Xenopus tropicalis: one gene and its partners. The protein of the gene in region 4 interacts with the protein of the main gene of each other region in a biochemical or structural test. Links are inferred from orthologs where the notes say so. Each region holds a gene or a part of one and is shown on either strand. Other genes may lie near its edges. The genes, in order: arhgef7, wasl, bnip2, cdc42, mcf2, arhgap32 and cdc42ep3.

Evidence for each region.
Region 1: the proteins of cdc42 (region 4) and arhgef7 form a complex in vitro, tested with the Homo sapiens proteins (2 studies listed by BioGRID). The link is inferred for Xenopus tropicalis from reciprocal best matches to the Homo sapiens genes CDC42 and ARHGEF7.
Region 2: the proteins of cdc42 (region 4) and wasl form a complex in vitro, tested with the Homo sapiens proteins (3 studies listed by BioGRID). The link is inferred for Xenopus tropicalis from reciprocal best matches to the Homo sapiens genes CDC42 and WASL.
Region 3: the proteins of cdc42 (region 4) and bnip2 form a complex in vitro, tested with the Homo sapiens proteins (2 studies listed by BioGRID, with this or other methods). The link is inferred for Xenopus tropicalis from reciprocal best matches to the Homo sapiens genes CDC42 and BNIP2.
Region 5: the proteins of cdc42 (region 4) and mcf2 form a complex in vitro, tested with the Homo sapiens proteins (2 studies listed by BioGRID). The link is inferred for Xenopus tropicalis from reciprocal best matches to the Homo sapiens genes CDC42 and MCF2.
Region 6: of the proteins of cdc42 (region 4) and arhgap32, one has a biochemical effect on the other in vitro, tested with the Homo sapiens proteins (3 studies listed by BioGRID). The link is inferred for Xenopus tropicalis from reciprocal best matches to the Homo sapiens genes CDC42 and ARHGAP32.
Region 7: the proteins of cdc42 (region 4) and cdc42ep3 form a complex in vitro, tested with the Homo sapiens proteins (2 studies listed by BioGRID). The link is inferred for Xenopus tropicalis from reciprocal best matches to the Homo sapiens genes CDC42 and CDC42EP3.

Annotation. Positions count from the first base shown.
Region 1 is NC_030678.2:116,995,143-116,999,270, reverse strand, and holds the start of arhgef7 (rho guanine nucleotide exchange factor 7), read left to right. Parts: upstream 1-1,328; 5' UTR 1,329-1,967; coding exon 1,968-2,132; intron 2,133-4,128. UniProt on the Homo sapiens protein: Acts as a RAC1 guanine nucleotide exchange factor (GEF) and can induce membrane ruffling. Functions in cell migration, attachment and cell spreading. Promotes targeting of RAC1 to focal adhesions. May function as a positive regulator of apoptosis.
Region 2 is NC_030679.2:70,363,222-70,367,246, reverse strand, and holds the start of wasl (neural Wiskott-Aldrich syndrome protein), read left to right. Parts: upstream 1-1,225; 5' UTR 1,226-1,334; coding exon 1,335-1,463; intron 1,464-4,025. UniProt on the Homo sapiens protein: Regulates actin polymerization by stimulating the actin-nucleating activity of the Arp2/3 complex. Involved in various processes, such as mitosis and cytokinesis, via its role in the regulation of actin polymerization.
Region 3 is NC_030679.2:96,408,857-96,412,356, reverse strand, and holds part of bnip2 (BCL2/adenovirus E1B 19 kDa protein-interacting protein 2), read right to left. Parts: coding exon 3,480-3,500; intron 2,207-3,479; coding exon 2,104-2,206; intron 1,211-2,103; coding exon 1,079-1,210; intron 756-1,078; coding exon 669-755; intron 577-668; coding exon 478-576; intron 1-477.
Region 4 is NC_030683.2:94,425,887-94,429,386, reverse strand, and holds part of cdc42 (cell division control protein 42 homolog), read left to right. Parts: intron 1-534; coding exon 535-644; intron 645-724; coding exon 725-922; intron 923-3,500. UniProt on the Homo sapiens protein: Plasma membrane-associated small GTPase which cycles between an active GTP-bound and an inactive GDP-bound state. In active state binds to a variety of effector proteins to regulate cellular responses. Involved in epithelial cell polarization processes.
Region 5 is NC_030684.2:70,020,553-70,024,762, forward strand, and holds the start of mcf2 (proto-oncogene DBL), read right to left. Parts: upstream 2,801-4,210; 5' UTR 2,616-2,800; coding exon 2,519-2,615; intron 1-2,518. UniProt on the Homo sapiens protein: Guanine nucleotide exchange factor (GEF) that modulates the Rho family of GTPases. Promotes the conversion of some member of the Rho family GTPase from the GDP-bound to the GTP-bound form. Isoform 1 exhibits no activity toward RHOA, RAC1 or CDC42.
Region 6 is NC_030683.2:72,586,010-72,590,053, forward strand, and holds the start of arhgap32 (rho GTPase-activating protein 32), read right to left. Parts: upstream 2,801-4,044; 5' UTR 1,422-2,800; coding exon 1,312-1,421; intron 1-1,311. UniProt on the Homo sapiens protein: GTPase-activating protein (GAP) promoting GTP hydrolysis on RHOA, CDC42 and RAC1 small GTPases. May be involved in the differentiation of neuronal cells during the formation of neurite extensions.
Region 7 is NC_030681.2:42,316,922-42,319,918, reverse strand, and holds the end of cdc42ep3 (cdc42 effector protein 3), read right to left. Parts: intron 2,285-2,997; 5' UTR 2,067-2,284; coding exon 1,302-2,066; 3' UTR 501-1,301; downstream 1-500.

The DNA of each region.
Region 1 (4,128 bases), on a different chromosome or scaffold from region 4:
CACCCAAAAGGAGCAAGCAAAAATTGTATGCAAAAAAGTCACCCCATCCACAGTGCAGCACATCTAATTTAGAAATCCTTTCCAGCTTTGTCTATGCAAAGCCAATAATCAATTGCAATCTGATATACCCTAGATTATTTTTATTAAAGGCCTCCCAATCTGTCACTTGCTGTTGCCATGGCAACAGAAAGCTCAGGAGACCACAATCACAACATATGTGGCCTAAGCTCAGGAGAGCTAATTTATTATCCATGTAGTTAACCTTGAATGCAACAGCCACTAGGTCCCATCAAGACTTGTAATGTACAACCAACACAATGTATGCTGTAAATTCAATGTGTACAGCTTTAACCTACAGTACAATCATGAATAGGAATCATCAATCTAAAGGAAAATCCAGTTTACAGCTTTTTTGGTACATATTCCATATGCAAATGAATACAGACAGCAAGAAACTGGGAAAAGAACAAGTTGATTATTTAGCATATCAGCATTTTAAAGCTGGAATTATGAACCATTTATTGGTTATGTAGAGAAGAGTGTTTCAAGCTGGCTATACACTGAAAGATCTGCTCATTTGGCAAGGCTGCAGAATCCCTGATATGCCTACCTTGAGGTGGCCAGTTTTGGATGACTGGATCACATTTCTGGTATGGAGGCTGCAGGGACAAGGGATAAGGACCACATCAACCCAACAATGCACACCTCATCGTGTTTGGATTTTTAAACCTGCCTGATCCACATCTGGCCGATCTTTGGATATATATATCGGTCATGCAGGCCCATCTGAGAGCCCCATACAAGGGCCAATAAGCTGCCGACTCCACCTCTGCGCTCATCCATTATTAGTATATATATATAGGACATTAAGACATTCTGTGCATTAAGATACTAAAAATGCCCTCCCCTTTCTTGCCCTTGACTTGCCTGAGGTGGCTCCTCCAATGCCGCCCCACTCGTGCTTACCTTTACAGTGCTGGAGGGGGTTCAGGGGGAACTGCATTGCTAGCGTAGAGTGCAAACTCTTTATGCCGCCACTGGTACTTTGTCTGTGCTGCTGCCTGAGGTGAGTTTCTCAACTGGCCTTATGGTAGCAGCGTCCCTGTCTTTTGTCCATATATTGCAATATTTTTAAGCTGGCCAACTATGTTGAAGTCAACCTTGGTCTGGCCAGTCCTACACTCACTTTCATCTGATTCCTTCACAATTCTACTATTCATTATACATTTTTGATAGGGTCACAAGTTTTACCTGCAACTAGCTCACTTTCAAGGTTAAAACTCCCAGATGGTTGCCCTTTTAATGGCCATCACAGGGGTCACATGACTGTAGCTGGGAAGGGTGAAAAGGTGGCACAAACCACTCAAGTTACAGCTGTCAAATACCATATATGTTTATATTATACCCCGCCCCCCCCTCACTCAAGCAGAGGATGAGAAAGGAATGTATTTGTGTGTGACATGTTCCACTGCACACACTGTCAGGCTGGCCTTTGTCTGTAACATGTGGAATGGCAGGTACAAGCCCTGGGGATGCTCTGGTTCATGCAGTGCCGGAGATCTCTTGGCTGAGCACTGATTCTCCTGAAGAAGAGAGTGGCGACACTGCAGGCTCCGTGTGCAATCAAAAGCCACTTGACAGGCTGCCAGAGCGCCCAGCACAGAGCGGGGAAGAGGGGGGCAGCGAGGGAAGACAGGAATAGGAGGAGGAGGAGGAGGGGGACGGGGGAGCGGACCTGCTGCATTTCCTACAGCAGCGAGGCGTCATCATCTGCATCTGCCCGGGGAAGGAGGGATCAGCAGCAGCAGCAGCCTGGGTTTCATGTCCACCTACAAGGGGAGCAAAGCAGCAGCAGCCAGTTCCATCTACAAAGGGGGGAAGGGGCTGGATTTGAGGGATACTGCATTGGCTGCCCCTGCCCCCCTCGCTCTTGCAGTCTCTGGCTTTACGTGTCTGGCTGCCGAGCCATGAATTCTGCAGAGCAAACCGTAACATGGCTTATAACTCTCGGGGTGCTGGAGTCGCCCAAGAAAACCATCTCCGATCCGGAGGGCTTCCTGCAAACGTCCCTGAAGGACGGGGTGGTCCTGTGCCGGCTGCTGGAGAGGCTTCTGCCTGGCTCCATAGACAAGGTAAAGCCCCTGGCTGCCACTTGTGTTTGCTGTGACCGTGTGCCCACTTCTTTCTTCTTCTGCCCTCCAGGAGCTGGGCAAGCACTGCTGCAAGTTGTTTGCTTAGGGAGCTGGGCAAGCACTGCTGCAAGTTGTTTGCTTAGGGCACATTGCTCTCAGCAGGGGTTAACTGCAGCAGCATCCCAACCCCCATCAAGTAGGGCGGTGTGACCGACAGCTGGGGGAGGAGGGGATACCCTGTACAAAAACACAAGGAGGGGAGGCGGTGGCATTGCACTGGGGGGGGCAAAAATTGTTTGGGTCTTCCATGCTGACTTCAAGCTCCAAAGGAAGGGTCTACCTATCTCTCTATGTGTGTCTCTATCTGTGTAGTCCATCAACCATTAATCACCTCTTCTGATACTATCTCAGCTTTATAGTGTAGACAGGTATAGCCAGACACTACAGATAATCTATACCCATTGACCAAATATAAAAGCCAACATGGGAGCCTGCGTCCATTTAGTAACATAGTAAGTTGGCAGCCCATCCATTACCAAGCAAACATTATTTATAGCTTTTTAGGCAATACAAAATGAGGCCCTATGTATGCTAACAAGAGAAGAATTTTTTCCAGACTTACTGTTCAAGGACCTGATTTAAATAAATATTTCCCTATATGGTCTGTTTGGGTATTGCTTGTATTGCATAGGTGGCACTGAGGAGGGGGGTGCCATTGCACTCTAAGGTGTCACATGCTACTTGGCAGCTGATGCATATGACAGTTTCTCCTAGCTCTTTGTCAGAGTAGGATCTTCACAGTAGAAGGCTCCTCTTCAGCTTCTATTGGCTAAGACCTAAGCTTTCAACCAATAAGAAATCAGTGGATGTCTAAAGTCAATTCTGTGTCACTGAGTTATTGGCATTAAACCAAAGACTAAACTTCTTTGTTACTTTTTGGTATCTGTTGATATTTTGATAGAAAATTGCTATGCTTGTAAATGTTACTATTGTGTGTGTGCAGAGATAGGCCAGGGAAACACTTATATGCAAATCTTTTATGAATGATTTTATTTATGATTTTATGAATGCTACAATGCTAGTTTATTTCACTGAAGTGGAGAATATGAATGGTTCGTCAGACTGGGAAATCATTGGTTTTCCTGGTCAAGAAGTTGATTTTTTGCTTTGAAAAAAAACTCTTTGAATTTAAAGGGGATCTCCTCCTAAAAACTACTTTTTGCATAATGACAGAAAATTTAATTATAAACAACTTTCCAATATACATTGATTACAAATTTTCAGTTGAAAAATGTTAAAGTTGAAGCTGCATTTGTTTTTACCTTCCTGTTTTCTGTCTGCTGAAACAGTGTAGCAGAAGTTAGTTCTCCTCCAGGTCTGTTAATCAGCTTTCTTCTGTTGCATTGTATCAGAAGTCAGAACCAGTAGTGTACAGAATATAGACAGATACCAGACAGATAGTGCTACAAATAAATTTTAATGCATTGAAATGTTTTAATTAATGTATATTGGAAAATTGCAAAGAATAATATTGTCTTAAATTACAAATAAACAGTGTTTGTGAGAAGATCACCTACAATACTGTGTCATGTAATATATATTTTATGCCAGTAAGAACACTGTATAAATGGCCAGTGAGCACTCTATTAACCCCATATAACCTGTAAGATCATTGCAGAAATGAACAATGAAAGCTCCAAAAACATCACTGTAGAAGTGACTAATGAGCACTTCATGAGCACTTCTTACTGCCAGTAAGATAATTGCCGAAATGGCCAGTGACCACTCCATCTACCCCAGATATGCCAGTGAAATCATTGCATAAATCGTCAATGAGCACTCAGTTAACCCCAGATGTCCCAGTAAGATCATTGCGGAAGGCCAATGAGCACTGTATTAAAACCAGATATACCAGTAATAACATTGCAGAAATGGGCAATAAGCAGACTTCCCAGTAAGATTATTGCAGAATGGCGAATGAGCAAAGTATTAACCC
Region 2 (4,025 bases), on a different chromosome or scaffold from region 4:
AATGTATGTAAAGCTTTTGTTTTTGGTCAGGTTAAGCATTGGTTTGCTTCCTATTACTTAGTCCAATCTGCCAAGTCTATGGAAGGGACACTTTCGAAAATCGAGTAAGATGGAGGAGCAGCACTGCTTAAGAAAGTTTCCTAAAGTGGTGTATTTTTTTCTGAAAAGCAGCACCAAGGGGTAAAAATCATGCTTGATCCCCATGTTATTATTAGGGAAGAAAGATAAATACATGAGAAGGGTTATCATTTTTTCCAGAACAGATGGCACCAATACCCCTGCAGCAACTACTACCTGTTTGCTAGGGTAAATTGAACCCTACAAACCAGATAGCTTCTGAAATTCCAAACTGGAGAGCTGCTCAACAAAAAACTAAATAATTCAAAAACTGCAAAAAAAAAAAACAAAAAACAAACTAAGACTTATTGCAAATTGTCTAAGAATAGCACTGAGTAAAGGTAAACGTTAATTTTAAAGTGAATTACACAGACACACAGAGCTACTTAGTAGCAGCTACTTGTCAGGGCTACTAAATGGCATAAAATACCCCGCCTTAGACAATACAGAGAATTGCCTCTGCTAAAACACAAGTAGAGACAATTATCAGTAATGGTCAGCACTGTCTAGTTTTGTAGCAGTGACAAGTAGCTGCTTCTAGTAGCTCTGTGTGTCTTCACCCTCTAAAATTCCGCAGGTGCGAGCATGTGAGTGCCAAGGGATAAAAATATAAACATATAAGGAAAATAAATAGAAGCTACTTTATTAATAAAATGTATCTGTCAGGGGAAGAAGGAACACTAGGTAGATGGACAAGGGGAATGGAGGAAATACGAATTGGCTGCTATATTTGTTCCTATAGACAAGCAGTTAGACAGTAAGACGTTACATTATGCAAGTCAATTAATGTAAGAAGAGTAAAACTATTGGTTAACTAGAGTCAGCCCTGTTCCACATTATTCCGCATCTGAACAGCAGAACAGAACTGCATTGCCTACACTGCAGAGTAAACATTCTCCCATGATGTCTTGCGGCTCCGCACGGCCTCCGAAGCCTGGCGGAAGCTTTGTAAGGGCTAAATAATGATAATTGCGAAGGCCTCCGCACACGCATGCGCCGAGCACTTCCTAGTTTACTGTAAGGGCGCGCAGTGCTTTACGGGGCCGAGCACCTCCTGCACAGGCAGTAGCAGCGCCAGCCTGGTCATCCGGATCCTCCCACAACACGACGACAAGCGGCCGGGATATGAAGCGGCCCTGATCCTGCGCTGAGGGGCGATACTGACTTATAGAATCTCTGCAGGGACCGAAGGGAGAGATTCCCTGCCAACACTAATCATGAGTAACAATATCGGCCCTAATAATAACAACAACAGGCAGACCAAAAGGGTGACAAACAGCGGCTCCATACTGCTCACCGCGCAGGAAAATGAAAGTCTCTTTAGTTACCTGGGCAAGAAGTGTGTGGTGAGTGCGGCCCGGTTGTCTTTTATTCAAATGGGGGCAGTTCGCCAGTTGTTTTAGGACTACAACTCCCACCCCTAGTAGGCTGATTGGTACAGGGAATTGTAGTTTAGCAGCTGGAGGGCCGCAGGGTGCCAAGTCTTATTTTATGTTTCCTTGTATGCTGGGCAAGGGTGGCTACTGCCCTCCGTGTCTAAACCTCCTGGGCTGCTTTTTATTCTAGGATATTTTTCTAACCTGTAGTACTCCGGTTGTCCAGCTGCTACTTTTACCCCCCAGCAGTCAGTGGCTGCCGAATGATGGTCATTTTATTTAACAGGTTGAAAGTGGCAGCTTGCTGGTTTGGTATATACCAGGCATAGGGCAACTCGGCTAATATATTTCTGCCCTATTTCCATTGGCTGTACACAGTGCTTGGGGTGCCATTACTAACCAAGGTATTGCCCTTTCTTTAGCTAAAGCCCTTCCTGCTTGTTGAACTATTACCTTAGAGTTACTGATAACCACAATTATGGTTTGGTTTGAATTCCTCAGTAGCCAGATATACATATAACCTAATTGCCCTGCTGTTGACCAGCTATAACCAGCATTCTTAGCTAGCCAGACACAGGAAGTTATAACTACAACTACAGCAAAAGTTCCTAAATGTGTTAAAAGTGCTGTATTGTACAAGATACATTAGTGCGAATTTGCTGTTTTTTGATATTCTGCTATAGTATTGATGTGTGGTAATTACAGTAAATGACAATGAATGTTTGTTACTCTTTTGATATTTTTCTTGTTTGTATGTAGCATATTTTTGTGGTGCCCATTTAATCATTTAAAAATAAACAAATATATAGATACAGGTTCATTGACTACTGACTGAATTGACTTTAGTGTGTGAATATAATGTGAATGGTATAGAATTTTTTTTTATTTAAGACTCTATTAAGAATTTTTAAAACTCTGTACTAAGTACTATTAAACTCAGTTTTTATATAGTAATTAATGGCATTTTCTGTATATATCACTTTGCATCTCATATCCCCTTTTCGGTTCAGTTCGGTAGCTGTACTGAGCAGGTCCCTCTTTACCTCCTGTATCACTCAGTAATTGTTTCTAAATTTTGTATGTTTGATGTATGGCTGTTTATAGATGCTTGTTAATAATAAATAGTAATGATACATCTTTTATTGTCTTTGTCTTGCCCGATTGCTAAATATGGATGCATTCATATGGTACTGTAGGTTGCCCACAAAGGTTCTAGCACTGAATAAATGTTTGTTTAGTTGTATCAGAACTTTGTGTTTGTTGTGTTAGCCTTGGCAGCTGTATGGAAGTTAATACTACATGGAAATTTGTCTCAGAATAATCACAGTGAATCTCAGTTTTTTGGAAAGCACACTATACTGGTGAATCTCCCCCACATTGTACAATAGTGATAGCTTGACCGACATTTATTCATTCCATTTTCTCTGATAGAAGATAATGCTGGGACATTTTTACAGCAATGTTGTTGTGAAAAGTTATGGCACATTAAATGAATCCTTGGAGCTTTTTTTTTCATTATACTTATATTTTATTATATCTTTTAAAGATTTGCTTCCTAGTTTCTTTGACAGTATCTGATGCTGTAGTGCTGTTACTGTAGGAACAGAAAGCTAGCTTTCCATTGCTTAAAATGTTAGGCATCCCCAAGTGACTTTAATCACCTACCTTGTACCCTGGGCTGGTGCCCCTTTTAGGAGAAAACAGCCCGGGGTACCTGTAGCAAGCGCTTCCTGCTTCCTTTTCCGGCAAATGCCAGTGGTCGGCCCATGTGCAGTAGAGTGAAAAGCCGACTTTTCTGTTAAAGTTCGGCTTTTCGCTCTACTGCGCACGCGAAGCAGCAAGGAGGAAGCGCTGCAGCTACCCCAGGCTAGTGCTGTTCTCTCCGAACAGGGGCACCATCCCAGGGTACAAGGTAGGCGATTTAAGTCACTTGGGAGTGCCTAACATTTTGGCACCCCCAAGTGACTTTGCCTTTCGTTCTCCTTTAAAGAACTCATACACTCAGTATTCCTAGGTTGGCTTTGCTTTCAGAAGGATGCTGGATATTGTAGGTCCAAAGCAGCTGAAATTCAGAAGGATGCTTTTGATTGGTGGTATTGTTACCTGTCTGTTTTGTTCTTTTTAGCATTGTTTTACAGTTACCGTAAAGCAGTGATCCCCAACCAGTGGTTCAGGAGCAACATGTTGCACCCCCAAGCCCTTGGATATTGCTCCCAGTGGCCTCAAAGCAGGTGCTTATTTTTGAATTTCTGGCTTGGATGCAAGCTCTGGTTGCATAAAAACCAGTTGTACAGAGCCACATTTAGGCTGCCAGTCCACATAAAGACTACCAAACAGCTATTCACAGCCCTTATTTGGCACCCTCATGAACATTTTTTAATGCTTGTGTTGCTCCTCAACCCTTTTTACATTTGAGTGTGGCTCACGGGTAAAAAAAGGTAGGGTATCCCTGCCGTAAAGGCTTCTGCAGTCTTTCCTTCTTCACAAAATTTATATATGGTTCATTTCAGGCAGTGGTCACATTCCCCCTTA
Region 3 (3,500 bases), on a different chromosome or scaffold from region 4:
ACAATCAGTATAGATATATGTCAATAGTAAATTGCAATGTATATGAGCAAATTATATCTCTTTGAACTTTACTTTATTTTCTAAATTCTTAGTAATTCCTTTTTATTGTGTCCTTCGGTATCCATTATACATTTTGTGCACATTGCCTTAAAGATTTGCATATAATTTAGTGACAAAACTTCCTAATATCAGTATTATTTGATATTGCAGTTTATAAACCATACAGTAATGGTTAAAAACAAGTAATCAAATATGTTTTATAGGACAAACAATTAGAATCTTGGTTATTCCTTGTACCCAATTATTTATGTTAAAGGCAATTTGGCAGCAGGAAAAGAAATATCACACTTATAGCAATCAATGTAGCACAGAGCTGTTTGCCTTTCTAATATTAAACCATATATTATCATATAACTGTCTCAAACTAAGTTTCTAACTACACAATGACAAATGAAATAAACAAAGAACATTACATACTCTTTTATGCATTCCGGTATGCTGACGTACTCCATAGGAATAAGTTCTGCTAATTCAACCAAGCTAAAGACATATTTAATTTTCTGGCTGAATTTTGAGCTAAAAACAAAATAAAACAACAATGGTTATTATGGTAGCTACTGTAGTAATATAATAATTAAATATAGAAGATCAGATTTCATTTCTATTACCTAATGAAGGGCTTTGTGATAGCTAGAAGTGTTCTGATAAACCAGGAAGGGTGTACTATGATCAAAGACTTGAGATTTTTCCGTAACCTTTTATAAAGAAAGACAAGCATTTGATTAGGCCACATGAAAATAAGTCTAGCAAAATTGAAAAATATATATAACCGTTGACCAGTAGAGTGCACATTTGTGCATCTTTGTTCAGTGCAGTTAAGTCACATACTTGATTGCTCAGGCTTTAGGCAAATCCTAATCTTTAAAAAAAACTTCTGGGATTCTGTGAATTCCAAACTGTATTCTGGTTTCTGTGCTTCCCTAACAACAGATTGACCTGAATGCATTAGCATTCAAATACATAATTCAACTTACATCTGTAACTGTAGCCCCCAATTTATTTGATGCTTTAGACATACCTCCTATCAATTTGTTGATAGCATTTCCTAAGCCATCCTAGGCTAGGCATTTTCCTCCGCGTTGTGGCTCCATTTAAATAAACTATCATGTAGTTTTCTGCAACTAACATTTCCAAAGTGCCAATAACATACCTGATGAATAAGCAGAGATACTTATTATTATTGAAAAATAAAAATACAAAACTGGGAACAAAATCAAAAAGACACAGCAAAAAAAAAAGGGGTAAAAAGCTGGTTGCATAGTACTAACAATCACCTAAATAAAATGGGGAACAGAATGAATGAAGCGTAGCAAAAAGGAATAAAGTTGGTCACAAACTACCAAGCACCAAATTCTCTGTGTGGATCCACAACCAAGTTAGTCTAACAGCTGCAAAGCAATGTGGCTGCAATAGAGATGATTACAAAAAAATAAGAATACAAAATTTTGGTCTGCTAATATGAGCCCCAATGCCATTTATGGGGTCACCAGGAACAAGATGGGGCCACCATTTCTTAGTGGTCTCATCATTCTGCCCAATATGTGCAGTTTGGACAACCACACGTGGGCAGTATTACACAAAAGGACCAAGACTTCATTAATCACCTTCTGTTTCTAATCTGTGTGGTAAATTATGACCCCCTTACTTAATATAAGTATATTCAATGTTACTGAGGGGCTTCAAAGACAAGATGCTGCAGGCCGAGTGCTTTGCATGCCCTATGGAACTTTGAGGTGCCTTCTAATATGCATATAATTTAAATGAGGGGTATATTTGTTTTTATGACACTGGCTTTTTTATTTTTTTTTACCAACATTGGACTAATGAAAAGCAACAGCTGTTCAGTGTTAGTAGAGCCCAGGTGCTTCAAGTAACACAACTGACACCAAAGAGCAGCACCAATAACTAACAACATCACTAAACAGTTTCCAAGGACATATTCTACAGGCTACACATGGCTAGTGAAATATAAAGTATTTAGTATATAATTCTTTATATACAATCGTACTGATATAGATAATAAATACAGAATGCAATACTCACTTAAATAGATTGTCCATTAGGTAGCGATAATTAGGTTGACCACTATCAGGCATAAAGCACACAGCAAACACTATAATTGCATTTAATCCATCTCCATAATAACCTTTAATGAAAATAATTATAATAAGTCAGTGGAAGAGAAACACAGGTTTTTCATTTTCTAGATCTTTTCATTTGTGTAATAAAATATGTTTGTGCAGAGGCATAACTACAGAGGGAGCAGACCACATTTGTGGATTATATATTGAATAATGTACCCCCTTATTTTTCCATGACCATATAGCACAAGGCTGAAATGCTCTTATACAGGTCATGGAACTTTGAGGTGACTTCTAATATACGCATATTTTAGCACAAGGGGTGCATTATTTATTATAATACACAAGTTTCAATGAGTCAAGTGAAAATACAACACTTTGACATTAAAGGAGAATGCAAGTCAAAATTTAAAAAGCATACTGCCCAATAGTCCTCCTATTGTTTAGTAAAAACACCACACTTTTGGCTCACCTAATCAAATATTTACTCAGTCACACTTACTTCACATTTTCTAGAACAGGCAGCCATCTCTAAAAAGGTATTCTCCCTTCCTTTCCCTCCTTGCTTCATACTGCACGTGTTTCATTCCCTCCCCCCCTCCCCTCTGCCAGATCCACTTCTGATTGGCTGGTGGGCATGTGTAGCTCAGAACAGGAGACAGGATCAAGTTACACACATGCTCAGAGAATGGGAAGGCTGCCGCTGGCTGTAGGCTGTAGGCTGCCAGCACCATATCTCAGAGAAGCAAGCAGGGATCTGGGAATTTGGATATGCAGTAAGTACTTAAAAAGAATGCCTTTAGACTTACTTTTAATTTATATTAACCTTTCATTGTCCTTTATAAGTCATTATAATTGATCCCATTACTAGGTACAATTTATAAAGATATAATTAACAGAGTATTCTGGGCTTTTCTATCTATCTATCTATCTATCTATCTATCAAATAATACAACATCTTCTAATCATATAAAACTGCACTCACAGGTCAATGATGTAAAGTAAAAAAAGTGGTAATTTATATAGTTAGTCTCCTTTTTTTTTAACCTAATATCAATTTGAAGCTTGTGCTGCTATTTTGCGATCCACCTCCTTCCCAGGAGGCAGAGCGTGCTATTTATTTGCCATTGCACTAACTACCAGCAATGATTATGCATTAGAGATCTCATTACATACTTTGTATAGATCCAAAGTGTAGCCCTCACACTAAAATCACACATGTTTCTCAGTGCATTGCCGCAAAGGTAATACTGAAATTACTATTTAAATAATAATAATATAAAATGAGTGCATGGTTTTATTGTGAGCAGAAGATTACATGTAAGTACCTCTTCTTACCTCCATGGCTAATAACTTTTT
Region 4 (3,500 bases):
CTGTCCAAGTGAAATATGGATTTTCTTTGTCCTGTCATTTTAGAATATGTCTGTTATTGTTGCCCATAATCTTATCACTGACCCTCTGTATGCTTTTCTAGTCAGTAGGTTTAATTTTGTGATTTTTACTTACATCTGCTTTTATGAAAATATAAGGCCCGTAGCACAAGTAACATTTCTCTTTTCGGAGGAAAAATGCCTGATAGCTTTATGTCGTTAAGATGGATGAAAACTGCCACCAGTGGTGACAGGTGGATTCTATTTACCTGAATGGCAGAGGCACAAATAGGTATTGATAGTTTTTCAGTTAGTTGACAAATGCTTACTGCAGTAGTGATAGGATGACGTTCCACTATATGGTGCTTAAAAAAGGTTGACTCCATGCTTACTACTAGACATGGTAACAAACTTTGGAACAATTTTCTTTAGTAAAATAAATCAGTCTATAACTAATGAACTCTTGTATGGCTAGGTTTAAATGGTGACAGTATTCAGCGTGCACTCTTTTTAACTAGTATTGCTCTCTTTCCACAGGACAGGAAGATTATGATAGATTACGACCTCTTAGCTATCCACAGACAGATGTGTTTCTAGTTTGTTTCTCCGTCGTGTCTCCATCTTCATTTGAAAATGTGAAAGAAAAGGTATTTTAAGTCATTTACTGTGATTATTCTTTTTACTATATTAAACTATCCTCAAACCAAAACTGTTTTTTTGTTTTCAGTGGGTACCTGAAATCACTCATCACTGTCCCAAAACTCCATTTCTGCTGGTTGGCACCCAGATAGATTTAAGAGATGATCCTTCAACAATTGAGAAACTGGCAAAAAACAAACAGAAACCAATCACTCCAGAGACAGCTGAGAAACTGGCCCGTGACTTAAAGGCAGTAAAATATGTGGAGTGTTCTGCACTTACGCAGGTGAGAAAACAGCAGCTATGTTGTAGAGCTTAATGCTCTCCAATGGTTATACTCTTAGACCTTCATTAACTTGTAGCTCTCAAGTAGATTGCATAATAGTTTAGATTTTGGACTAGTACAAATAGCTTGAAGGCTGATGCAGTATATTATAACTGTATGAGGAAGAAAAGGGTATTATGCCAAAAAAATAGAAATGTATTGAAATACAAATTCTGGTTCATATTATGGGATCAGCATCTACTTGATTGTTGTAGTAGAGTATTTTAAAACAGAAGATCAGAAAACACATTCCTTTTTTCTATATAAAATGTTATCATTTTGGAAAGTGCATTACAAATTTATGAAGACTGTAAATACACAATCAAACTGACTTTCCATGGAAGTATACAGGTATGGGACCTGCTATCCTGAACACTTGAGACCTGGAGTTTTCTGGGATCTTTCCATAATTTGGATCTCCATACCCTATCTACTAAAAATCATTTTAACATTAAATAAACCCAATAGGATTGTTTTGCCTCCTATAAGGATTAATTAGATCTTAGTTGGGAGCAAGTACAAGGTACTTATTACAGAGAAGAAGGAACATATTTAAAAAAAATTATTTAAAATGAAGTCTGCGGGACAAGCCCTTTCCTTAATTCAGAGTTTTCTGGATAATGTATACTATACCTGTATCTGAAAGGCAACCATTGTAAATAGATTTAGGAGAGTCCAGTTAGTACCTTTTGAAGTACCCTCTATCCATTTTTCATTTTATTTTTTGTTAACCCCTTTTTCTTTCCTACACTTCCTTTTCAAGGCATATATAGAACATGCTTGCTTTAAGACATTTTGTTGCCTCGTCTTAAAATATTATATTAACCTTGTTTCTTTAGAGCATGGGAGTTTTGTAGATTACTCTCATCAAGCCACCTACCCCATACAGGGCCAATACACCCAATTCAAGGAGTGTTCTCTTTAAAGAAACACTGTTGTTCCTGCTATTGCTGCAAGGTAATGTGCAGCCTAACAGCTTGGACTAACTCTTGTGCCTGCAGTAAACCTTCTGCTGTATTCAGGGGAATTTGCCCGATGTTTACATAACCTGCAGCCACTCAGTGCTTACATGAAAATAAAAGCTTTCTGCAGTTATGGTCTTCTACACAGTGGAATAGAACTTACTGGTCTCAACAGATTTAATTTACCACTCCTAAACTTTGTGAATAAGACAATTTGCCAGACTGTAGACTGCTTATCTTTCAGTTCCCCATGTATCCCCTCTGCCCTCAACTGCCTATAGTTATTCCCCTGCCTCTACATAAACCCAGTTGTCTTGGAAAATCCATTTCACTGGATTATTGCCTTGATATCGTATAGACCACTTGGCTTTCAACACAGACCTGCCAGATTATTTGGTTTACAGTGTTTTCCATTTTAGTAAAGTACATTTTTATTTTCGGTTTGCATTTCAGGTTTTTTTCTTTTTGTAATCACTTTTTTTCCTTTACTTTAAATTCTCAACTCAGCTGCAAGGGTTACGTAGAAGACTCAGTTTGGATCTGCCAACTGTATGCATGTTGTGTCTCTGTAAGGGCTCTGGCACATGGGGAGATTAGCCCACGACAAAACTCCCTGTTCGCGGGCGACTAATCTCCCCGAGTTGCCATGACCCGCCATCCCACCGGCGAACAGGTAAGTCGCTGGCGGGATGGCACGCGTGGCGGCGCGATTTCCCGAAATTGCCGAAAAAGACTCGCGAGGCTTTTTCGCTGGAGGGATGGCGGGTCATGGCAACTCGGGGAGATTAGTCGCCCGCAAACAGGGAGTTTTGTCGCGGGCGACTAATCTCCCTGTGTGCCAGAGCCCTAAAGCACTGTGGCACTATTTTAAGGATATTACTACTCGGAGCTAATTAACTGCACTTGGGGTGGCATCATGTACAGTATTTGGCATCATGACATCATGTACAATTTCTATTTCATGTAGGGTATAGCCATACACACACTTGTTCCATTTTGCAGCATGTTCCTTTTCAATCCGTTGGGTTATATACTTGGCTTGAACAGCTCCTAGGATAAATTTCTTTGTCTTGACATTTTTGCCCACACTTATAGTTTAAGCCTAGAATATAAATCCAGTTACTCAGCATTTAAAATGGCTTTCGACAATCCAACATTGTAATATGTAAGTGCCCCTGAACTTATCTTCTGCCTCAGAACATATTGCACCATTTCTTAAAGGTGTTCTGTCATGGCAAAACATGTTTCTTGTGCAACATGCAGGTAATAGTGCTCCTCCAGCAAAATCCTGCACTGAAAGAGCAAACCGCTTTTTTTTTTTATATTTAATTTTGAAATTTGATGTGGGGCTAGAAATGCATACTCTTAAGGTGGCCATACACGCACCGATATTATCGTACGAAACCTCGTTTCGTACGATAATCGGTGCGTGTATGGCATGTCAGCGAGCCGACCGATATCGCAGGAAGCTGCTGAAATCGGTCGGCTCGCCGATCGGCCAAGTTAGAAAATTTTGATCGGGCGCCATAGAAGGCGCCTGACCAAAATTCTCCCTTCAGAGCTGAATCGGCAGAAGG
Region 5 (4,210 bases), on a different chromosome or scaffold from region 4:
ATTCAGATCAATATTTACAAGCACTTCATATTCCATTTTCTAAATGTTTATGTAGGATTCCAGAGTCAAGGTAAGCAATTAGGCATTTCCCTATGCTATGGATCCCCAACCCTTTTTACCTGTGAGCCGAATTTAAATGTAAAAAAGAGTGGGGGAGCAATACAAGCATGCAAACAGTTCCTGGGGGTGCCAAGTAAAGCTTTTGGGTGCGTGTATTGCAAGTCGGCGAGGTGACCGATATCGCAGAAGACTGCGGAGTAACATGGTGAGTAACATGTTGCTCCCGAGCCACTTGTTAGGGATCACTGCCCTATGATCAGATAAAGGGATGCTTCATACATACACATTAAAATAAGCTGGCTGCACTGGTTGCTCTGAATGAAATCAGCAAAGCCCAGCAACTTTATTTGGTGTCCCCAAGCCTGGAATGGGATTAAAAATGGGCCCTGGCATCAGGGCCAAAACGGGGGGTAGGCAGAAGAGGCAGCTGCCTAGGGCGCATCGATTAGGGGGCACCAGGCAGGATCCTCTCCTGCCTAGTCCTTTTTCTTAGTCATTGCCCCCACCGCTAATGACAAGCACACGGGAGGGGGGGCTTGGTGGCCGACCAAGTTGCCTAGGGCCCGCCCCTGCCTGGCATTTAAGTACATAGGGGCTCAAACAGCCCAATTAGTGTAGCCGCCTCTCCTGCACGGAAACTCCATGCAGGAAGGTGGGGAGACTGGCCAACTGATGCACCAATCTTGGAGAATCCTGCCTGGTTTTCTGAATTGGGAAAACCGGGCAGGCAGTTTTGACCTTCTGTGAATTAGAATGGCAGGTATAGGCACCATCGATTCGAATCGACAGAAAATTTGAACCCTGCGTATGGGCCTTCATTTGTGCCCATACACGGGCAGATAAGCTGCCAAATCTGTCTAAAGGACCGATATTGGCAGCTAGAATTGGCCTGTGTATGGGCACCTTAAGAGGCAGCAATTGTTCTCTGTATTCAGCATGGACAAACATATAACTTCAGACATTGCTAGGGAGACATTATATGGCCCAGCACTAGTGACACAAAAACTACTCTTGAAAATATTACTGTACATTAAAAGTTCCCTATAGGTCATGTTGATCATTTTTCACTGATAGGGCTGCTTTTGTAAGTAATTGTTACTTGATGTTCCTAAACCTGACTGTTTTGCCAACCTGACTGTCAGTTATAGCTTCTAATGCTAACCGACTCCTGCAGCATAAATATGGCTGCCCCTCATAGAGGAACATGGGGATCAGATAGATAATATAGAAGTATGGTGCAAATATTTTAAGACAAAATTATAGATAGCATGCAAAGCCAATGTTATGATAGTAGTAAAAAAAAATTCTAATGTCAGTATCTCTTTAACCTGCAGTGGGATGTTTGTTTGTCATTCTGCACCAGCGCCAGATTAGATTCAAATCATGATGTCATACAGAGAGCTCTATAGAGACATAGCCCTTGGGCAAACTGGGGGCCAAAAACCTCCTTGTGGATGTAGAGGGCCACATCCACACTAGCAGGCCTCCAGAACAGCCTTAAAATACCCTACTAAGCACTAGCATTGGCGATACTCACACCACAGGAAGTTTCTTTTTTGGAGAGCTTCACAATAACTATAATCTAGCTAATTACTTCACACATTTAATTGATATGGGAACTGTAAAGTACAATTACATATTACTATGTTATATATATATCACACAAAGGAGGGGAGGACTGTTAAAGATTCGCCTGCAATCATAATGATGGAGTCCTCCTCCCAAATTTTTACAATTTCTTGTCTCTCTCCCTTCATGTACCTATTAACCCCTTTTGACACTCTATTTAACCCCTTTTTTACTCCCTTAAACCACCTCCTCCCCTTCTCTATACCCTCCTCATTTCCCCACACTGCCAATTCCTTGCTGTCTAATTAACTCCTTCCTTTTCTCTACACATGTCATATCATGACTTTTTTCATCTGTTAACCCCTTATTTTCCCTCCCTTACAACCAGCTACTGAATGTTATTGTTTTAGAAACCCAATAACTGTTGGAATCACAGATTTCCAGAAAGCAGTTCAGGAAATCAGAAATTAAGCACATAAAGAATTATTTGCAGCAATAAACCCGCATATAGCCTGACACGGATTTTGAAAATCTGCTAGCAATATTACAGACTACAGAAAGAACATGATCCTATTGCATTTTCACCCAGTCACAGGATAGGTACTGCCCAAAGCAGCAGTTTACTGTAAGTTAGAATGGGGGTCCGCTGAGTGCGCAGGGTGGTAACTGGCAAGTTGAGTGGAGAGAGCAGGGTGCTGAGTAACTTTGGTGGGGAGGGACAGCTGTGGGTGCTGTGGGTGCTGAGGAGGAGAGCAGAGAAGCTCACAGCAGTGTGAATGCAGCATTGCAGTTCTATATGGAAAAACAATGCGATTTGCTCGGAGGATACTGCAGGGGACACCAATAGTCTGTGCTGGGAAAAGGCAGGGAAGTAGGAGACAGCACTTACTTTCCAGGGCAGTGTCCAGGAGGGCAGCAGCCTGCTGCAGGCTATAGTACTTCTCCATTTCCACCGCAGAGATCCTGAAAGTATCCGGGGATGCCATGATGGCTGGGTCACTGGACAGATCGCACACAGCAGGAGGCAGCGGGGAGTCAGAGCCGGGCCGCCCATATGTTGTGCCGCAGCAAAGGGTCACCCCAAGCCCCAGCCAAGAGATGAGAGAAGGCGATCACCCACGGCAGGGCACCCAGCTGCCAACTGGAGGCTAAACGCTACACTGGCTCTGGGCTTCTGTGAATGGGAGATGTGGGCTCAGTGGGCGGAATAAGCTTTCAGTAGGCACCGCCCACTCACACTTGTGGCTTATGTCCCAACTCGTACTAACTACTTACCCTGAAATATGAGAAAAATCCTGGCACAAACTAGTTACCCTGCAACCGATATGATCCCTGATACACATGTAATGGATAGGATCCCTGGCACAAACTAGTTACCCAGAAAATAATAGGATCTCTGGCACAAACTAGTTACCCAACAAAGAATAGGATCCCTGGCACAAACTAGTTACCCAGCAAATAATAGGATCTCTGGCACAAACTAGTTACCCAACAAAGAATAGGATCCCTGGCACAAACTAGTTACCCAGCAAAGAATAGGATCTCTGGCACAAACTAGTTACCCAGCAAAGAATAGGATCTCTGGCACAAACTAGTTACCCTGAAATGGATAGTATCCCTGGCACAAACTAGTTACCCTGAAATGGATAGCATCCCTGGCACAAATGAGTTACCCTGAAATGGATAGCATCCCTGGCACAAACTAGTTACCCAGTAAAGAATAGCATCCCTGGCACAAACTTGTTACCGAGTAAAGAATAGAATCTCTGGCACAAACTAGTTACCCAGTAAAGAATAGCATCCCTGGCACAAACTAGTTACCCAGTAAAGAATAGCATCCCTGGCACAAACTAGTTACCCAGTAAAGAATAGAATCTCTGGCACAAACTAGTTAAAGAATAGCATCCCTGGCACAAACTAGTCACCCAGCAAAGAATAGCATCTCTGGCACAAACTAGTTACCCTGAAATTGATATGAACCCCTGGCACAAACTAGTTATCCTGAAATGGATAGAATCTCTGGCACAAACTAGTTACCCTGAAATGGATAGTATCCCTGGCACAAACTAGTTACCCTGAAATGGATAGTATCCCTGGCACAAACTAGTTACCCTGAAATGGATAGCATCCCTGGCACAAACTAGTTACCCTGAAATGGATAGCATCCCTGGCACAAACTAGTTACCCAGTAAAGAATAGCATCCCTGGCACAAACTAGTTACCCAGTAAAGAATAGAATCTCTGGCACAAACTAGTTACCCAGCAAAGAATAGCATCTCTGGCACAAACTAGTTACCCTGAAATGGATATGAATCCCTGGCACAAACTAGTTACCCTGAAATGGATAGTATCCCTGGCACAAACTAGTTACCCAGCAAAGAATAGGATCTCTGCACAAACTAGTTACTCAGCAAAGAATAGGATCTCTGGCACAAACTAGTTACCCTGAAATGGATAGCATCCCTGGCACAAACTAGTTACCCAGTAAAGAATAGCATCCCTGGCACAAACTAGTTACCCTGAAATGGATAGCATCCCTGGCACAAACTAGTTACCCTGAAATGGATAGTATCCCTGGCAC
Region 6 (4,044 bases), about 22 Mb from region 4:
GTGAATACGTCCCACTCCAAAGGAATGTGCTGCAGTACTACTCACAGGCTGGATTTAAATCACCTTTAAATTAAGGCGAGCAAGATTTATTGGAACTTGCACCCTTTTGTAATGTTAATTATCAAATGGACAACTCACAGCATGAAAAGTCTGTATGCAAACTTATTTAATGAAAGGGGAATGTATTTAGACAAGCAAGCAAAAATAGACTAATTTTGAAACAAATTCAGAAATCAACCCCCATTTGTCACAACATACCTAGCACCTGATGAATAGCGACTTCATTTCAACTGAATCATTCCAATCTATATTTGTAACATAAAGGCAAGCAATAGGGATACCTCCTAATCCATTCGTGGGTGCTAAATGATTTGCTTCATTAGGTGGCTGCCACAGTTTATAGCACATATGGGCAGATTAAGCAGTTAATACAATCAGAAATAAATTGATGCACCTACAACAAGGAGAAAGAAAAAAATCTTCCAAAAATACTTAGGCCAAACACAATGGTAGCAAGGCGGCAATGAAGCCTCCCTGCTGCACAACATATCACTAGACACCATCTGCCCACTGCAAATCCCAACACGTAATGTACTGTTGCCTTGACATCTGCCTAGACTGTTGGGACAAAGGAGAAAAGCTGCTACCAGATATTACAATGTACCAAAATCTACTTCAGAAACCTTCCACCTTTTACTATAGGCAGTGGTGTAAGATCACCCCAAAGCAAAGAATTAGGGGTCACTGTACGGCACTCACGCAAAATCCCCCACCACTGCCCATTTCTGGCCAAGGCAGGATGAGTTCAGAAACATCCTCTCCATACATCCCAAACAGTTAAGCACCCTCATACATAATAACACTTGAGACATAGGGGAAGATATGCGGGGTAAGCCATGTTGCTGTTAATGGTGGGGGAGGCGATAACTGAGCCAGGCGTACGGTGACCTCCTTGACTTCTCGCCCAAGTGACGCGTTATATTGTAGGTGCGAGCTTCCCACACATAATAAACACGCAGCTCGTGAAAAAGGTGTTGTGTAAACACGAAGGAGCCACCATTCAGCGTTAGCACTCTGTGCCTTACACCCGTCCTACACGGAACCAAATAAAATAGCACGCAGTCACCAAATTCCCAAAGACCATCTCCCAGCAGGGACACGCCACAGCCTGCAATGTGATTGATCCTGCACCTTTGCACTAGTAAGCACAAGCGGGATCAGGGTCAGTAAGCTGAATGGAAGCCTGCAGAGACAGCAGCTATTAGCAGCGCAGATATAGGGGAGAGGGCAAGGTGCCCAGTCACTACTGACCTTTCTAATTCATCCAGCTTGCCCCCCGTTGCCATCCTGCCAGAAGTCGAAGGAACTGCGTGGATACTGGGAAAAGCAGCGAAGGCAGCGGCGTCGGTCCCTCCCTCCATGCTGCAAGATCACTGCAGGAGCCGCTTGTGATAGAGAGAACGCAGTAAAGACAGGGAACGGAGACTGAATGGAGAGAGGGGAAGGTACAAGGCTGTGCTGAAAAGCAGAGAGATACATCCAAGAGCCAAAGTGGAATATACTATCCATGTGGAGCCATGATTCCTGCCCACCTATGTACCTGGTTACTGGCCAAACACGGGGGCCATTACGGATCGGCGAGGCTGGGAGATGGCTGGACTGGCTGCTCTAACACTGCAGAGTTTCCTTTCTGAGGTGGCCACAAGCCCTTCAGCTGTTCCTTTGCAGGCAGAGGGAGGGGAAGAGCCACAAGACACTGTCAGAGGGAGGGAGGAGGGGAAGGCTTGGCTTCTCGGGGCATATTGTTCTCTTATTTCAACTTGTGTGAGCTTCAAAGGATTCATTGAGCTATTGCTCACGCACACACTATTCTCCCGCACAAAGGCGCTGGATTCTCCCAGATTGCTCAGTGCAGGTTGATGATGGGCATGAAGGCAGGGGGATGACGCTGCAGGAGCGCTGGGAATCTCCGCTTTAGAGCAGTCTCACTGCAGTTCCTATTGGGAACTTGTCAATAGATTGGGGGGCAGAGAAATAACGCATTTCCCGCGCAAACGATTTGGGGTGAAAGATGCAAAATTGGAATACTGCCTTTGTGCCCTACACTAATAGTGTTCCACATAGCTGTTATAAAGATGGATTTCTAACCAAGTTTGGAGAATGTCCTGGCTATGAGTCAAGGAGTGTATCAGCAGCACAAGTCTGGGCAGGCAGATGTTTTACAGCTTTTAAATTAACCCCTTTCATATAACTCAGATCTTGCATTTCTCTGTGGCTTTCTTTGTGGATCATGATTTGTCTAACCTGCTGTACAGCCATGAGTAACATTTTACTGCTATATAAATGAAGAATAATAATTACACTGGCGACAGAATTCATAAAACAGGTGTACATATATACACTGGAGTATTAAGCAGAAAATCAAAAATTTTATTTGATTAGTGTTTCTGCCTGTCACTTTTCAGCCTGAAAATGCAAGGTTTGAGGACAAACTCTGCCCTGTGTGTGGTGGGAGTGCTATTCCTGTCACAAAGTTTTATTCTAATACACATGGCTGTCTAAGAAGCAGGTTTTGGGCTGATTTACAAACTTAAATACTAAATTTCAGGTGTGCAGTTGCCACTAGCAACCAATCAGGTCTTTGTTTTTATTTTCTACCTTGTAGACCATACTTGTGCAATTTAACACCCAATATTTGTAACCAGAATATAAGGATCAGCAGTGAATGGAATAACAAGTTATTGATTCTAAGTTTTATTGTGTTCCGTGTTGTTCCTCTTTTGCATAGTAGCAAATGTCATCTTTAAAAAAAAAAAAAAAATTTCCCCTAATTTGTGAATGTACCCTAACAATTTGCTTGCTCATAAAAACCTTCCTCAAATTTGATCCACTCCAAAGGTGACAATAAAATCTGCTGTAAGACCCCTATTTCCACTTGCAAAACCCATAATAGCAGGTTTGCACTAGCACATTTGTTTGTATAATGTATAGTGCCTGTTAAATAATCTAAACTGGGTCTAGAATGGCACCAAATGTTATGTACAGATAAAGGTAGAAAATTGCTTACTGTATTTTACTCAGAAGGCATGCATTTTATATCCATAGATGAGTAAAGACCAGAGTCTGCTTATTTTGTCAATATATGCAGGGAATGGCACGCAAACACAGGAAAAAGTCTTTGTAAACAAGCAGAGGTTTGTGGCAAATAGATCTATCTACCTACCTATCTGTGATGTCCCCCGAAGTTTTCTCAAGACAACTTCCAGCGACTGCGGGACATCGCAGCAGCGCATATGCCATCCCACCGGCAATTTACATTCTAGCCGGTGGGATGGCATTGTGGGAAGATTAGTTGCCCGCGACAGCGAAGTCGTGGGGTGACTAATCTCTCCATGTGCCACTGCCTTTAATATACAGAACTTCTCTTAATTTGTTGCCTTACTGGTTTACAGCATAATGTTCTAAAACCAGGCCAAGGTTTGTGCTGATAAGCCTTAGGCACAAATTTGCGGCAGAGCAGAAGCATACTGGCACGGCAGTGTTACTTCATTTTTGGGTGAGTGGTTCCATGGAATGAGACATAACACAATTCTGAGGTTTACTTGCATTAAACTTACCAGCTCAGTGAAATGTACATTTATTTCTGTCAGTGTAAGGTGGTAATAAAGCATGGAGACAATGTGCAGAACGTGTTTTACATACTGAATATGGCAGACACTAGCTATTAACTATATTTTAGGAAAATATCTACACTGCCTGGAAGAAAATTGCATCTGCTGTAAATGCAGGAATATATATACAGAGATTAGTAAAGTACAACTAAAAATTAAATTTAGGTATCAAGAAATAATATAAGCAAGTTATAAAAAAAACAATACAATTTTTAAAATAGCACAGCTTGCATTACTTATATCAGTGTGTGGGTGTATATTCATAAACATAAATTGTTGTTATATGTCTTGGGAACTATTATCCCTATATTTAGTCTATAATACTATTTAACCTATTTTCCCCTGCAGCAATGACATTTTCAAGTTAATAGAA
Region 7 (2,997 bases), on a different chromosome or scaffold from region 4:
CAACGCACATACTATACCCCTGAACAATGTAGGTCTCTATAAACATAACAGCTCATATGTTAAAGCCTGCTTCAGCTAAATAAAACATTTTCATAAAAATATACTTGCAATTGAGTTATTCTAAATAGAAAATTGCCATTTTACATCAGCCAATTAATGGGCAAAGTTATGTCTTTTGCTCCCAAAATGCAGTTACAGCTGCATTATTTCCTGTCAGGTGGTCTCAGAGGGAGCACACAGCCCATCACTAAATGGTGGCTCAAGGGAAAAGATGTAAAAAGGCAATATTTGATGTAAACTATTATTTAAGTATTGATTCTAGAGGTATAGTATTCCTATGTTTCTAGTGGCCTAGTGTTCCACATTAAGAAAACTCCAGCTCCCAAATATTCTATATAATCCACACTTGTACTTCCTGAATGCAAGAAAGATTGTTTCATTCCTCTTCTTCTTGCACAAACCCATAAATACTAGTAGGAAAACAAACCTGTTGAAGCAGATGCTTTAGCATCAATTATTTTATTTAACAATATGAGAAACCAGTGCTTTGCTTACATATGAAACATATATTGCCTCATACATCTGTAGGACATAGATAAGAAAAAAAGTATAATACATATTTTCTCAAACTGTCACAAAAATATACATTGAACCTGCGATGAAAAATGTGAAAGCGATAAAAAAATGGTGATGGGATATCTATAAAATACAAGCTTTGTTGTAAAAATACAAAGGCACATAAAGGATATTTAAATGAAAATAATTTAGTTATGTGCTGCGTAGCAGAACTTTAATGGCTAAAATATATATACTGGGACCAGGACATAAAGTCTATGGGGCTCCAGGCAAACTCTGTGAGCTGTAACATGGCAGCATGGTGATTCCTGGTCCATCCAAAGACTTTCTGATGCATGCAGCAGAAGCTGATGATATGGCACACGTAATGTATAAGTAATGATACTTAGTGCTGTAATTCAACAACAGTGAGAGGACCATGGGTCTATATATTTATCTGTCTACATTCTCTTCCCTTCTTGCAAACAAAGGAATATATTACTATACATTTCTTCTTCAGAGTTCATTCTTTCCGTACATAAAAAAAAACTATGAAAGAGTAGACAAGTATCTAAAGTGTCTCACAAATACCAAGATTGAAAAGGAAATCTTTAGTATATATACTGATGATGAAAGAAATACGGCGGTGCAGATATGTAAACAATAAAATATTTGAATTATTCAAATCTATGGGTAACAGACTTTATATATGTACCATGTCTGTAAGGTGTGGAAGGCCTGATTGTCTAAGCCTTGCCTTTGTCCATTACATGAAGCACCTCATCCAACAAAGATGGGCCAAGGTCAAGTTGGAGGGTGAGGAGTGAACTTGCCAGGTCAGAAAGAGGCTCTTCTGGCTTCATGTCTGGGCTCTCTATTTCACATGCAATATGGCTATCTTCAAACAAGTCACTAGCTTGCCAGTCATTATATGGTTCTGAGAGGCTGGAAGAATGGCTTGACCTTCCATTTGTAGAACACGAAGCTGAATTGCTTACTTTCCACTCATGATCAAACTGGTGTCCATTTTCATATGGTTGGCTCTGCTCAAGTAGTTTTTCCTCTAGCACAGGCTCACAGCTCAGCCGGGGTAACCTTGAAGGGCTAAAGGAATCCCTTTTAGAGTTGAAAGTCACTGTGGATAATAAAGGCAGAACCAAGGCCTGCGATCCTCCAATTGTAGGGAGAGAAATTGCATTTTTAAGTACAGGCGAGGATGTCTCAGAAAACACAGACTCACACGTGCTGTTTGCCCTCAGAAATTCACCGTGTCCATGATAATGTCCGTTTCTGGGTTTCCCTTGGTTGCCAGGCAACAACTCAAAATTTCCTTGAAGGAAAGAAATGTCACCAAACACATCATGTTGCCCATCTTTCCCAATGTGTATTGTGTGACGGAAATCCCCTAAAGGTGGGCTGATCAGGTCAGGGGACAATATATCCCTTAGTTTGAATTTTTTCCCCTTTTTGCTGTTGGCAGTTTTAAGATAAATGGGTGTCTTCGCTGGCATCTTGAAAGGTATTAAACGTGTAGATGTTGAATAAAATCAGCTTTATATCTCTGTTAGATTACATCATTCACTTTACTATCCCAGCCTCTGGTTTGCTCTTAAAGTCACGCAGAAAAACTTCTCCCAACACGTTGGCTGAAACTCACTTAGTGGCAAGTGCAAGCTCGTACTTCGTCTGCAGGCAGCACATCCATAAAGTTTCGCTTCTTTCCGCAAACCTGGAGAGGAAAGAAAGCAAGTTATCATTAACCAGTTTTTTCATGGCTCATTCATTCTTGTTTTCACACAACAATCAGTTATGGTGCTGACAGTTCCAGTCTACAGATTCGCTTTGTGATGTGGTTTCCCTCCATTAAACAGCATAAAAGTGACCAGATTCACAAGGCCACTGTGGCCTTTCTGTGACTTTCCTATATTTTTATGCCTGTGCCCCTTATTTACAACTCACTGAGCACATTTTTATTGGCAATGTCTAAGACATTATTTTTTTTTGGTCTCCTTAATGCTTCACAGATATTAATAAGAGCTGGGCACTGTTAATATCAACAAGGAAAATTGCACAGGCGGTGTATTACAAGGAAAATACATTACAACAACAAAAATAAGTCAGGTCTCAGTTTTCATTTATTTTCCTTTTACACTGAAAGTATTTATACTGTTATCAACAAGGAGACATTTATCTGGTGGTCTAGATTAAAGTATTCATTAATATGATAGAGTAAATCATAGCACAGGCATGGGATTTATTAATTAGAAAACATTTATCCAGAAATCTCAGAAATGACATTAAGTCCCGCAACTAAAGCACAGACTCAGCTACTCCATAATAAATCATAATTTAACCCTTTCCTAGCCAGTATTGTAGAGCATCTGGTATCCAGGTGAATACCAAATTCTTCATAGATTCAGCAGGATAACAAACCAAATCTAA